Linked DNA regions of Stegostoma tigrinum. The protein of the gene in region 2 interacts with the protein of the main gene of each other region in a pairwise test. Links are inferred from orthologs where the notes say so. Each region holds a gene or a part of one and is shown on either strand. Other genes may lie near its edges.

The links.
Region 1: the proteins of cchcr1 (region 2) and hsbp1b interact in binary tests that used the Homo sapiens proteins (3 or more experiments, as listed by UniProt). The link is inferred for Stegostoma tigrinum from reciprocal best matches to the Homo sapiens genes CCHCR1 and HSBP1.
Region 3: the proteins of cchcr1 (region 2) and smarce1 interact in binary tests that used the Homo sapiens proteins (3 or more experiments, as listed by UniProt). The link is inferred for Stegostoma tigrinum from reciprocal best matches to the Homo sapiens genes CCHCR1 and SMARCE1.

What each region holds. Positions count from the first base shown.
Region 1 is NC_081369.1:48,301,282-48,305,032, reverse strand, and holds the start of hsbp1b (heat shock factor-binding protein 1b), read left to right. Parts: upstream 1-837; 5' UTR 838-955; coding exon 956-1,000; intron 1,001-3,751. UniProt on the Homo sapiens protein: Negative regulator of the heat shock response. Negatively affects HSF1 DNA-binding activity. May have a role in the suppression of the activation of the stress response during the aging process.
Region 2 is NC_081387.1:26,383,816-26,387,566, forward strand, and holds the start of cchcr1 (coiled-coil alpha-helical rod protein 1), read right to left. Parts: upstream 2,779-3,751; 5' UTR 2,673-2,778; intron 2,568-2,672; 5' UTR 2,406-2,567; intron 1,222-2,405; 5' UTR 1,084-1,221; intron 1-1,083. Other genes in the region: tcf19l (transcription factor 19), read left to right, coding at 3,609-3,751. UniProt on the Homo sapiens protein: May be a regulator of keratinocyte proliferation or differentiation.
Region 3 is NC_081384.1:2,078,970-2,082,720, reverse strand, and holds the start of smarce1 (SWI/SNF-related matrix-associated actin-dependent regulator of chromatin subfamily E member 1), read left to right. Parts: upstream 1-889; 5' UTR 890-1,116; intron 1,117-3,751. UniProt on the Homo sapiens protein: Involved in transcriptional activation and repression of select genes by chromatin remodeling (alteration of DNA-nucleosome topology).

The DNA.
Region 1 (3,751 bases), on a different chromosome or scaffold from region 2:
CCGAAGGGCCTGTTCTGCACTGTATTGTTCAATGTTCTATGTTCTGCGTGTCCTAATGACTTTTAAGTGAAAAATATTTTGGCTTTCTTTTTGTCTCCTTGCTCTTAATTCATTAACTGTTTTAAAGAATTTCTCCCTTCCTACTAGAACATTTCTCAGCTTTCCTGAATTCCTACTTCTCTCTTCAATTTCCTTTCACTTCCGGTTCTCTCTTTCCTCTAACTCACCATCTCATAATACCACTATTATCATTTCACACTCCTGCTCTTCTCCTATCTGCTTCCTGCTTTGCCACAAGCTCCATGTCTAATCATGTATTGTGCAGATCTATTATTCAAGATGAAAGCAAGTTCAACCACATGAAGCAATTGTTCAAAAGTGGAAAAAGTTCTAGACTCTGCTGTGTGCTCAAGTTATTCCTTGCTAAACCGAAACAAAATGTCCCAGAGGGAAAACCTGGTTTAAAAAAAAACTTGAAAGTGAAAATACCGGTTTGTACTGGACTATAATTCTGAGGAACAAGGCAAGTCAGATCACTATGTGTCATTTTCAAGTTTTATTAGATTTCCCCTCTGGGATATTAGTTCAGGAGATTCTGATAAAGATTACGACCTTAAATTTTTCCTCTCTTTGTTCATAGATGCTGCCAGGTCTTTCCAGCATAGCCTACTCGTTCTGGGCGCTAAAAATGTGATTATTTCAAATTTGCTGGAGCTGGATGAAAATGTTAGCAAAAGACCCAGGAAGTAAGGTCCAAAGTGGAAAATTGACAGTTGGTGGGGAATCAGGCACAGGCTATTTCAATTCAAAGGCGGGGAATCAGGGAGACGACTACAACACCCATGATGCAGCGGGACGTCGGCGAAATCTTGTGAGGTCACGGCAGATTTGTCGGAGTGGGCAGGATCGCCGTGGTAACGAAGCTGCTGAGGATTGAGGCCGAAGAAATCTTGAGATGTCGGAGACAGACCCGAAGACGGTGCAGGACTTGACTGCAGTGGTGAGTGAGTGATGGAGGGAGGTGAACGGGCAGCTTTCTCAACCAGTGAGCTGCGCGACTGGAGGCTCGGGCTGTGCCGGTCGGACTAGGCCTCAGCCTCCTGACTGTTTCCTTGGCTGCAGCTTTACCTAGACGCACAGGGTGTCCCCTGCCCGAATGGGGCGGCTTCACCTTGTCCTCTGCCAGAAACTGTTGTCCCAGACCGGTAGAATATTTATGAGTAACCGAAGTAAACACAGCTGATCAGCACTTTCAAGGCATTTGAGATTGGATGACTGATGGTGATCTTACCAGTGATCTCCACATCAAATGAAAGAAGAAAAAATGTGCCCAATGCATGTGTAACCAGAATTGATGTTGACTTTGAAAAACAGCCAGAATCCACAATGGCACAATTAAACGACCAAGTGTCTCTCCTAATCACCTTGGACCCAGGTATTGTGTGAAGGTGACATCCCTAATTTGGAAACCTTGGTGTTCATCTGTATCTGGATGTGACACGTCAAAAGTCATCAGTTTGAACTGACGTGAACTGACGCTGAAGAGGCAGCAGTCTCTGTGTTTGGGTCTGTTTTTACAAGACATGGTACATAAACACATCACTATCAATATCTGTCAAAGACTAAATAAATGTACCTCTTCATACAAATATAAAGATCAGAGCACAACAATGGTATTCAGTCCATCTACCTGTGTTGTTGCAGTTCTTTTATATTCATCTGTTAGAAATACTTGGTAATTTCTTTTTAAAACTGACTTCAACAGCCATTTGTGGTGAACTATCTTTCTGTTACTCCACCTTACCTGGTTTTAATCCCTCTGTTCATCTCCCATTCATGTCTCCATCAAGCAAACCTTAAACACTGCTAATGTGTCTGCTACCACCACCACCACCTCTGCCAGTGTGTTCCAGGCACCACCGTGCCGTGTGAAAAATTTTCCCTGCAATTCTTCCCTAAACCTTGCCCTCACGTTGAACCTGTGCTGCCGTGTAGTTGACCTTTCCATGCTGGATAAAAGCCTCTGACTATTCCAACCTACCTATGCCTTTTGCAATTTTGTAAACCTCTATTAGGTCACCCCTCACCCTACATCTGTCCAGTGAAAACATTCCAAGTTTATCCAACTATCCTAATACCTAAAACTCTCTAGACCAGGCAACATCCTGGTAAATCTTCTCTGTGTCCTTTCTAAAGCGTCTACGTCTTTCTTAAAGTGTGGTGACCAGACCTGCACGCAATATTCCAAATGTGGCCTGACAAAGTTTTATACAGCTCTAACATAACTCGCTAACTTTTATATTTGACACACACAGGCGTGTTGTGTACCTTCTTGACCACCTTATTCACCTGTGTTGCCACTTTCAGGGATCTGTAGACCTTTATACCCAGATCCCCCTGTATGTCAATGATACTTTGGTACCTGCTATTTATTTTATAGTTTGTATCTGAATTTGATCATCCGAAATACTTCACCTTGCATTTGTCTGGGTTAGACTCCATCTGCAGTTTCTCTGTTGAAATTTGCAAACTGTCTGTCTTTCCATGTCCTTTGACATACCTCTTCACTATCCACAACTCTGCCAATTTTGGTGTTGTCTGCACACTTACTAATAAGATCACCTAATCGCTAAAGGAATAGAGGATAAAAGTAGGATGGCATTGTTGCAATTCTACGAGGTATTAGTGATACCGCACCTACAGTATTGTGCACAATTTGGGTCCCTTTGAGGAGGGATGTAATTGCATTGGAGGCAGATCAGAGGAGGTTCACTAGATTGATTCCAGAGATGACGGGTTTGTCTTATGAAGACAGATTGAGTGAGTCGTTTGGATCTATACCTATCTGGTTCACTAATGTCCTTCAGGGGAGGAAATGTGCCAGCCCTCCCCTGGCCTGGCCTACATGTGACTCCAGACCCATAGCAATGTGGTTGACTGTCAGTTGCCCTCTGGAGTCACATGTAGGCCAGGCCAGGGGAGGGCTGGCAGATTTCCTGGCCATGACAGTATCAGTAAGAGTGACCCTGCACAGTCCTTGTGGAGACGAAGCCCCACCTTCACGTTGCGAATAACCTCCATCGTGTTGTGTGGCACTGTCACTGTGCTAAATGGCGCAAACTTTGCACAGATCTAGCAACTAGACTGGGCATCTACGAGGCACAGTGGGCCATCAACAGCAGCAGAATTATACTCCACAATCTGTAACCTCATCGCCCGGCATATCCCCCACTCAACCATTGCAATAAAGCTAGTGGATTAACCCTGGTTCAATGGAGACTGTAGGAGGGCATGCCAGGTGCAGCACCAGGTATACCTGTAAATGAGGTACCAACCTGGTGAAGCCACCAAACAGGATTACTCTCATGCCAAACAGCGAAAGCAGCAAGTAATTGACAGAGCTAATCAATCCTATAACCAATGGATCAGATCTAAGCTCTGCAGTCCTGCCACATCCAGTTGTGAATGGTGGTGGACAGGTAAACAATTCACTGGAGGAGGAGGCTCCACAAATATCCCCATCCTCAATGATAGAAAATCCAGCACATCAGTGCAAAAGATAAGGCTGAAGCATTCGCAGCAACTTTCAGAGAGAGGTGCCAAGTGGATGAACCATCTCAGCCTGTTCCAGTGGTCCCCAGCATCACAGATGCCAGTCTTCAGCCAATTTGATTCACCGTACGTGATATCAAGAAACTGTTCGAGACACTGGACACTGCAAAGGCTATGGGCCCTGACAACATTCCGGCAA
Region 2 (3,751 bases):
TGCAGCCCAATGGTATCAATGTGGACTTCACCAGTTTCAAAATCTCCCCTTCCCCTACTGCATCCCTAATCCAGCCCAGTTCGTCCCCTCCCCCCACTGCACCACACAACCAGCCCAGCTCTTCCCCTCCACCCACTGCATCCCAAAACCAGTCCAACCTGTCTCTGCCTCCCTAACCGGTTCTTCCTCTCACCCATCCCTTCCTCCCACCCCAAGCCGCACCCCCATCTACCTACTAACCTCATCCCACCTCCTTGACCTGTCCATCTTCCCTGACTGACCTATCCCCTCCCTACCTCCCCACCTACACTCTCTCCACCTATCTTCTTTACTCTCCATCTTCGGTCCGCCTCTCCCTCTCTCCCTATTTATTCCAGTTCCCTCTCCGATGAAGGGTCTAGGCCCGAAACGTCAGCTTTTGTGCTCCTGAGATGCTGCTTGGCCTGCTGTGTTCATCCAGCCTCACATTTTATTATCTTTGCTTCTGTGAAGAAACACAGTTCAGATTAATCACCTTCCATCAGAATTCAAACTGAAATTTTGTACCTCGGTGCTGCCACAGCACCTACCCTTCACCTCCATCCAAGGCCCAAGACAAACTTTCCATGTATGACAGGGATTCACCTGCATATCATTCCACCTGGTCTACTGTATCCATTGTTCTTGATGTGGTCTCTTCCACATAGATTAAACCAAATGTACACTTGGAGACTGATTCGAGGAGCATCTGCACTCTGCACGCTAATATCAACAGCACCTTCCAGTCGAACCACTTTAACCACCCCCCCCCCCCCCGCCCTTGGGTGACATGTCCATCCTGGGCCTCCTCTAGTGCCACAATGACGCCACACGCAAACTGGAAGAGCAACACCTCATATTCCGCCTTGGGAGCCAACAGCCTGATGGCCTAAACATCCAGCCTTCCACCCACAGCCTCATCACATGTCTAACCCTCCCACTCATCCCCACTTTCTTGACCTGGCACCACCTGTCCATCTTCTTTCCCATCTATCCGCCCCACCTGTCCAACTGCCCAATCCCCACCATCCCAAACCTGCACCCACCAAACATTGTCCCACCTACCTTCAGAAGCCCCACCCCTCCTATTTATTTCTGAGCTCCCTTCCCCCTCTCCAGTCCTGATGAAGGGTCCAGATCTGAAATGTCGACTTTCCTGCTTCTCTGGTGCCGACTCTCCTCCTGTGTTCCTCCAGCTCCACACTGTATGGATGACGAAAACACTGTTAACAAGTAGCAACGGGAATTAACCGAGTCATACAGGAATACAGTTCATATTACAAAGATACTCAGCAGAGAGGGGGAGGATTTGTCTCTGTTTCAAAATGGTTGTTGGAATAGGCTGGAGGACTGGTGGGGGTTTGGGGCACATTGGTTGGTAAGCAGCAGAGTTCAGTGTCTGATCCTTTGTTTGCTCAGTCTTTGGATTCAGACACATACACAGACACACACACACACACACACACACACACACACACAAACAGACACCAAACAGTGCGGATGCCTCGAGCATGTTGACTTCATAGGTGCCTGAATGAATGTTTCCATCAAATTTGTGTTCGGTAAATGTTTTGGGTTGCATCTAGATACGAGCACTGGTTTGAACTTTTCCAATTAGCACATTTCCTCCTTAACTGAAACCAGTTCACTTATCCCTTACCTAAGGAAAAATATATTGGAGTCAGCCCTATGAAGTTTTACTCGGCTGATCCCAGGTATGGAGGAACTGTCCTTTGAGGAGAGGTTGAGTAGGTAGGGTCTGTATTCTGGATGTGAGTTTGCTCACTGAGCTGGAAGGTTAGTTTTCAGACGTTTCGTCACCATTCTAGGTAACATCATCAGTGAGCGTCCGGTGAAGCGCTGGTGTTATGTCCCGCTTTCTATTTATCTGTTTCCTAAGGCTCACTGATGATGTTACCTAGAATGGTGACGAAACGTCTGAAAACGAACCTTCCAGCTCAGCGAGCAAACTCACATCTAGAACCTCAACCTGAGCTACAAATCTTCTCAAAACTTGCTAGGGTCTGTATTCATTGGATCATAGAAGAATAAGAGGGGATCTTATTGAAACAGATAAGATTCTTCGGGGGCTTGATTTGGAAAGATTGTTTCCCCTTGTTAGAGTCCAGGGTTAGAGGGCATACATGCAGAGTAAGGGGTCACCCCTCAGGAGAGCGATAAGGTGGAAATTTCTTCTCTCCAAGGGGAGTAAGTCTGTGGAATTTTTTACCGCAGAGGTCTGGAAGCCTTACTAATTACATTTCAGGCTGAGATAGATTGATAAACATTGAAGGAATTAAGGGTTATAGGAACAAGACAGGGAATGGATGGCGATTATTAGATCAGCAATGATCTCATTGAATGGCAGAGTTGACCGAAATGCTTACGTCTGTCCCTACTTATATTCTTGCAGACCCAGAGTGACTGCTGTCCCAAGTTTGTGTCCTTCTGCAACTTCTGGGTCATCTCTTCAACCCAACGTCACAAAAGAGATTCCTAAAGCAAATTTCTGCAAACCCTCAAAAAAAGGGGAGCAGTTCAAGTGGCGCCTGTTCAAAAAGATAGAGAAAGCAGTTTACATTTCGAGTTAGAACATCACCCACAGTAAGATTACCAACAGTAAAATCACGGGAATATCCCTCACAATGACATACATGACAGTAATTATCTTCCTGACCGGCCCTTTATTCCTCGTAGACCACAATCTGACAACTCTGCCTGGCACCCTGGAGGGAGGGAGGGCGGAGCGCCAGCATCAAAGATGGCAGCTCGGCCAGCCAATTGGCATCACCTCCTAGTACGCAGGCACAGTAACTGGTACCCCCGCGGAGGACAGGGATCATCTCGCGATACTTGGGGCCGCCGTTCCAGCGCGCCAATTTTCAAAGGCGCTTCCTGTAAACAGAAGGATAGACCTAGAAAGAGAGAGAGAGGCGGGGAGGATAGACAACAGACAGCTGGTCTGCCGTCGAACCGGTCGGTGGCACTGAGGAACACCGGAGAGACAACAACAACAACTACAGTGGCGCCAACTGTCCACCGCAACGGTCCGAGGTGGAAAGCCAGGCCTCAGTTCCGATGACCTAACAACTGGATCCTACCCCCGAGAGCCCAGGATTTGATGAGTTAGCAACTGGATCCTACCCCCCGGGAGCTTGGCGACCAAACATTCGGAGCCGAACCGCCATGATTCCAGGATTTGGTGACCTAACAATCGGAGCCTAGCCCCCAGGAGTGCGGGTTTTGATGACCTAACAATCGGAGCCGAGCCCCCAGGAGTGCGGGTTTTGATGACCTAACAATCGGAGCCGAGCCCCCAGGAGTGCGGGTTTTGATGACCTAACAATCGGAGCCGAGCCCCCAGGAGTGCAGGTTTTGATGACCTAACAATCGGATCCGAGCCCCCAGGAGTGCAGGTTTTGATGACCTAACAATCGGAGCCGAGCCCCCAGAAGTGCAGGTTTTGATGACCTAACAATCGGAGCCGAGCCCCCAGGAGTGCAGGTTTTGATGACCTAACAATCGGAGCCGAGCCCCCAGGAGTGCAGGTTTTGATGACCTAGCATACCCCCGACACCGACCCAGCGAGGATGCTGTCGGAGGTGCAGCCCTGCCTGCAGCTGCTCCGCATCGGCACCGCCCCGCAGCCCAGCCCGAGGCCCGGCCAGGCCACGGCGCCGACACCCGCCCGCGACCTCTACACTTTCCTGCCGGCCGGCCAGCGCTGCACCTT
Region 3 (3,751 bases), on a different chromosome or scaffold from region 2:
CACTAAAATGAAAGCAAAATCCTTAAGTAGTCACACCAGAATCGAGACGTTATCGCCTGTTTTTCTCTGCACAGCTTGACCTGCTGAGCCCCTCAAGCAGTTTTAACTTTTATCCCTGGGACCTTGTGTCCCCGGATTACTCCACCAACAGCTCTGGCACTACATTATTGCCTCTCTGTTAATAATCTTGTGAATTAATTACCAACTAAATTGCAGATTTTATTAGTCACCAGCAACTGTACAAGGTGTAAATTGATTAGTGTTGGGTACGTTGATTGTGTTTCGATATTGTCCCTTACCTGTTAGATTTCAGTGACTATTTGACATGTTCCCAGTCCTGCAGCAAATTAAAATTAACATTTCTCAAGATAAGGAGATTTCTCAGTGAGACTGGGGACAAAATAAATCAGTCTTACAGAAACAATACAGCATATGCACTTTAGGTCAGACATGCATTCTATTTGAAGAACCACAGTAGATTTATTGTCTGTAGCAGCACATTCTTAGAAAAATGTTTTCCATTAAAAAGGAAATTATTAGCTTATAACACCTATACAAAGACTCAAAACAACTGATGTTGTAACTATATTACAACTGCGCTTATTTAATTTATAGAAGGGAACTTTATTTGGAGGCTCGAATGTACGGTTGCTACTCACACTGACATTTGGCCTTGGGTCGGCACAGTTGGAAAGAGGTTCGCAGATTCGGCGGAACTGTTTATTACTTTATAAAATTCTGCCAGGCCCAAGGTGGGAGTGTACTGGGGGAAGATCAAGTCCACCCGAGGCGGCGGGTATTCCCCGGGTGTCGGGAAATTTTCATCCGGCAGCCGTGGCCGGGTTTTGTTTGTGTGGAATGTGCGAGCTCGGCGCCCCCGGACAATAGGAACCCGCTCGCGCTCGGTCCGCGCGCTTCCCGCCCCCCGGCCCCGGGCTTGCGGATCCAGACCCTTCCCCCACCCCCCCCCCCCGGGTACCGGGCTCCGGTCACCGAACTACCCCACCCGACACAGGCCAGCTCCCGGCATCGAGCTCCCTCCCTCCTCGGCCAGGGACACCGACCGCCTCCCCGGGACCGCGGCTCCAGCGGGACACAGGACTCCCCGCCCTCTCCGTGAGTACAGCTTTGATCCCGGGGGGGGGGGATGAACGGGACATCATGAGGGATGAGCTGGGCTGGGGAGGCAGTGAAGGGAGAAGACGGGGGGGAGGGGGATCTCTCCGAGGGTTCACTTTGGGTGGGAAGTGTGGGTGCTGCAGGATGTTGTCATGGACAATATTCCGGAGCTGGGAGGGTGACTGACTCCCAATGAATTAAATCGGGGATAAAGGCTGTCTTGGTAACATTGAGGGGGATGGGTGGAGAGTGACCCAGTTGAAATATTTGGGACTATAAAATGTACGTAGACACACACACAAGATGTTTCTTCCGTAGGACAGTAGGACCAGGCTGTTATCATTCTAATAGTAGTTTAGGACAAAAACAGAAATTGTTGGAGAAGCTGAGCTGGTCAGGCAGAACCTGTTAGCAGAAAAAGTTAACGTTTCCAGTCCGATGATTCTTAATCATAACCTCAGTCGTTTGGGCTTGGCCAGCTCAGTTGAATGGACAGCTGGTTTGTGATGCAGAGTGACATGGACTCTCCTTTTCAACCTCACCCCTAACTTGAGGTGTGATAACCTTTAAGTTAAAGCACTTCTAATCATCTCTGTAATGAAAGAGTAGCCCCATGGTCCTTTGGGGCTATGATTGGTTGGGGACTCATTTCCACTTTACATCATTTTTTTTTCTCCACCATCGGCAACCTCTTTGTCTTTTGTTAGTCAAAAGTATAACAAGTGTTTAAAAAAATTCCAACATCTTTTTAACTCAAAAAATGTCCTAAACTCTCTTTTTTGTCTCCACAGATGCCACAACTGCTGAGTTTCTCCATATTTCTTTGCTATGTTGGCAGTATAAGACAGTCACTAATAAATCCATTTGAGAATTCAGGAAAAATGTCTGCCTGGGGAGTGGTGAGAATTCAGGACTTTGAAAAGCAACACCAACCTGTCATGAGCAATTAGTTCATCTAGGACCGACTATGGAATGAAAGCCTTTTACTTGTATAGTTCCTTTTAAAGTAAAAGGAATATCTCAGATTGTTTTATAGCCAGAGACAGTAGGAACTGCAGATGCTGGAGAATCTGAAACAACAAGGTGTAGAGCTGGATGAACACAGGTCTAGAGGAAGGGTTTAGGCCTGAAACGTCAGCTTTCCTGCTCCTCTGATGCTGCTTGGCCTGCTGTGTTCATCCAGCTCCACACCTTGTTTTATAACCAATCAGTTTATTATATATAGTATATATTTTTGCTATGCAATCACTGCTGTTATGTCAGTAGTATGGTGGCCAATTTGTACATGGCAAATTCCACAATCAGCAGTGTGATAATAGCCAGATTATCAGTTTTTGTTGTGTTGGCCAAATTGGGAATAACAGGGCAAAATTGGGATTATAGAATCAATAGATGTGAAGCTAGAAAAAGACAACACGCTGAGGAGCAGGAAAAAAAGTTTTGGGTCCAAATTGTATAACCTAGTGTCTCCTGACTTCTGATGTTGTCTGCTATAGGGGCGGCACGGTGGCTCAGTGGTTAACACTGCAGCCCCACAGCACCAGGGACCCAGGTTCGATTCCAACCTTGGGCGACTGTCTGTGTGGAGTTTGCACATTCTCCTCATGTCTACTTGGGTTTCTTCTGGGTGCTCCGGTTTCTTCCCGCAGTCCAAAGATGCGCAGGCTAGGTGGCTTGGCCGTGCTAAATTGCCCGTAGTGTTCAGGGGTGTGTGCATTTATAAGGAGGTGGATCTGGGTGGGATGCTTCAAAAGGGCGATGTGGACTTGTTGGGCCGAAGGGCCTGTTTCCACACTGTAGGGAATCTAGTCTAATCTACCTCAATCCAACACCAACACCTTCACATCCTCAGAATAGTGCCATTCACTTGGGAGAATAGATGAAGTCTTTGTTTAATGTTTCATTGGAGGGTACCTTTGCTGTTATAGTACCCCTCAATTAACCTTGCAGAAATCTCAGGAGTGGGATTTGAACACAGAATCTTCTTGCCCAAAGGGGAAGGTATTACCTGTTGAGCCATGGCTAATGTGTGGTGTCCATTGGTATTATTGTGGCTTTCTCAGCTTGAGGCAGAGTGTAGTGCAGGCAGAGCAATTTCCCAAATGTCTTTGCTGTTAAGGCAGAAGATTTTAAATGAAAATGCAGGCATTCTCCTTAATTTCTTGCTGAAGAAACATTAAATCTGATGAAAACATGGCTATTTTCTGTCAAATGTTTGTGTTCTTCCCTTTGTTCTGTTCTCATGGCACTGTAACTTGTCAAAGTTGAGGTACTTTTCTCTCCCCGAACATTTTTGCACTCTATCTATGTCTCTGTCCGTATCTCTATCTCTCTCTCATATCTCCTTGCTTCAGTGGCTAACTGCAAGTCTTGGCCTAGATCCTTGGATCCCTGAATTGGGATATGACTCATGACTTTGGAGTACGCGCTGAGTGTTGCTGAACAAAAAGACATGATCTTGAACTTTTCCATCTTAGACTTGGTCAGCACAGATGTAAGAATATTCCCAGATTTCAAAGGGAGCAATGTTTATACCACATGAGAAACAGAGTGCTGATTGGTTCACAGGTTAACTGACTGTTCAAGGCAATGCCATGAGGAGTACACCAGGGAACAGTGTCCCCAGACTCTT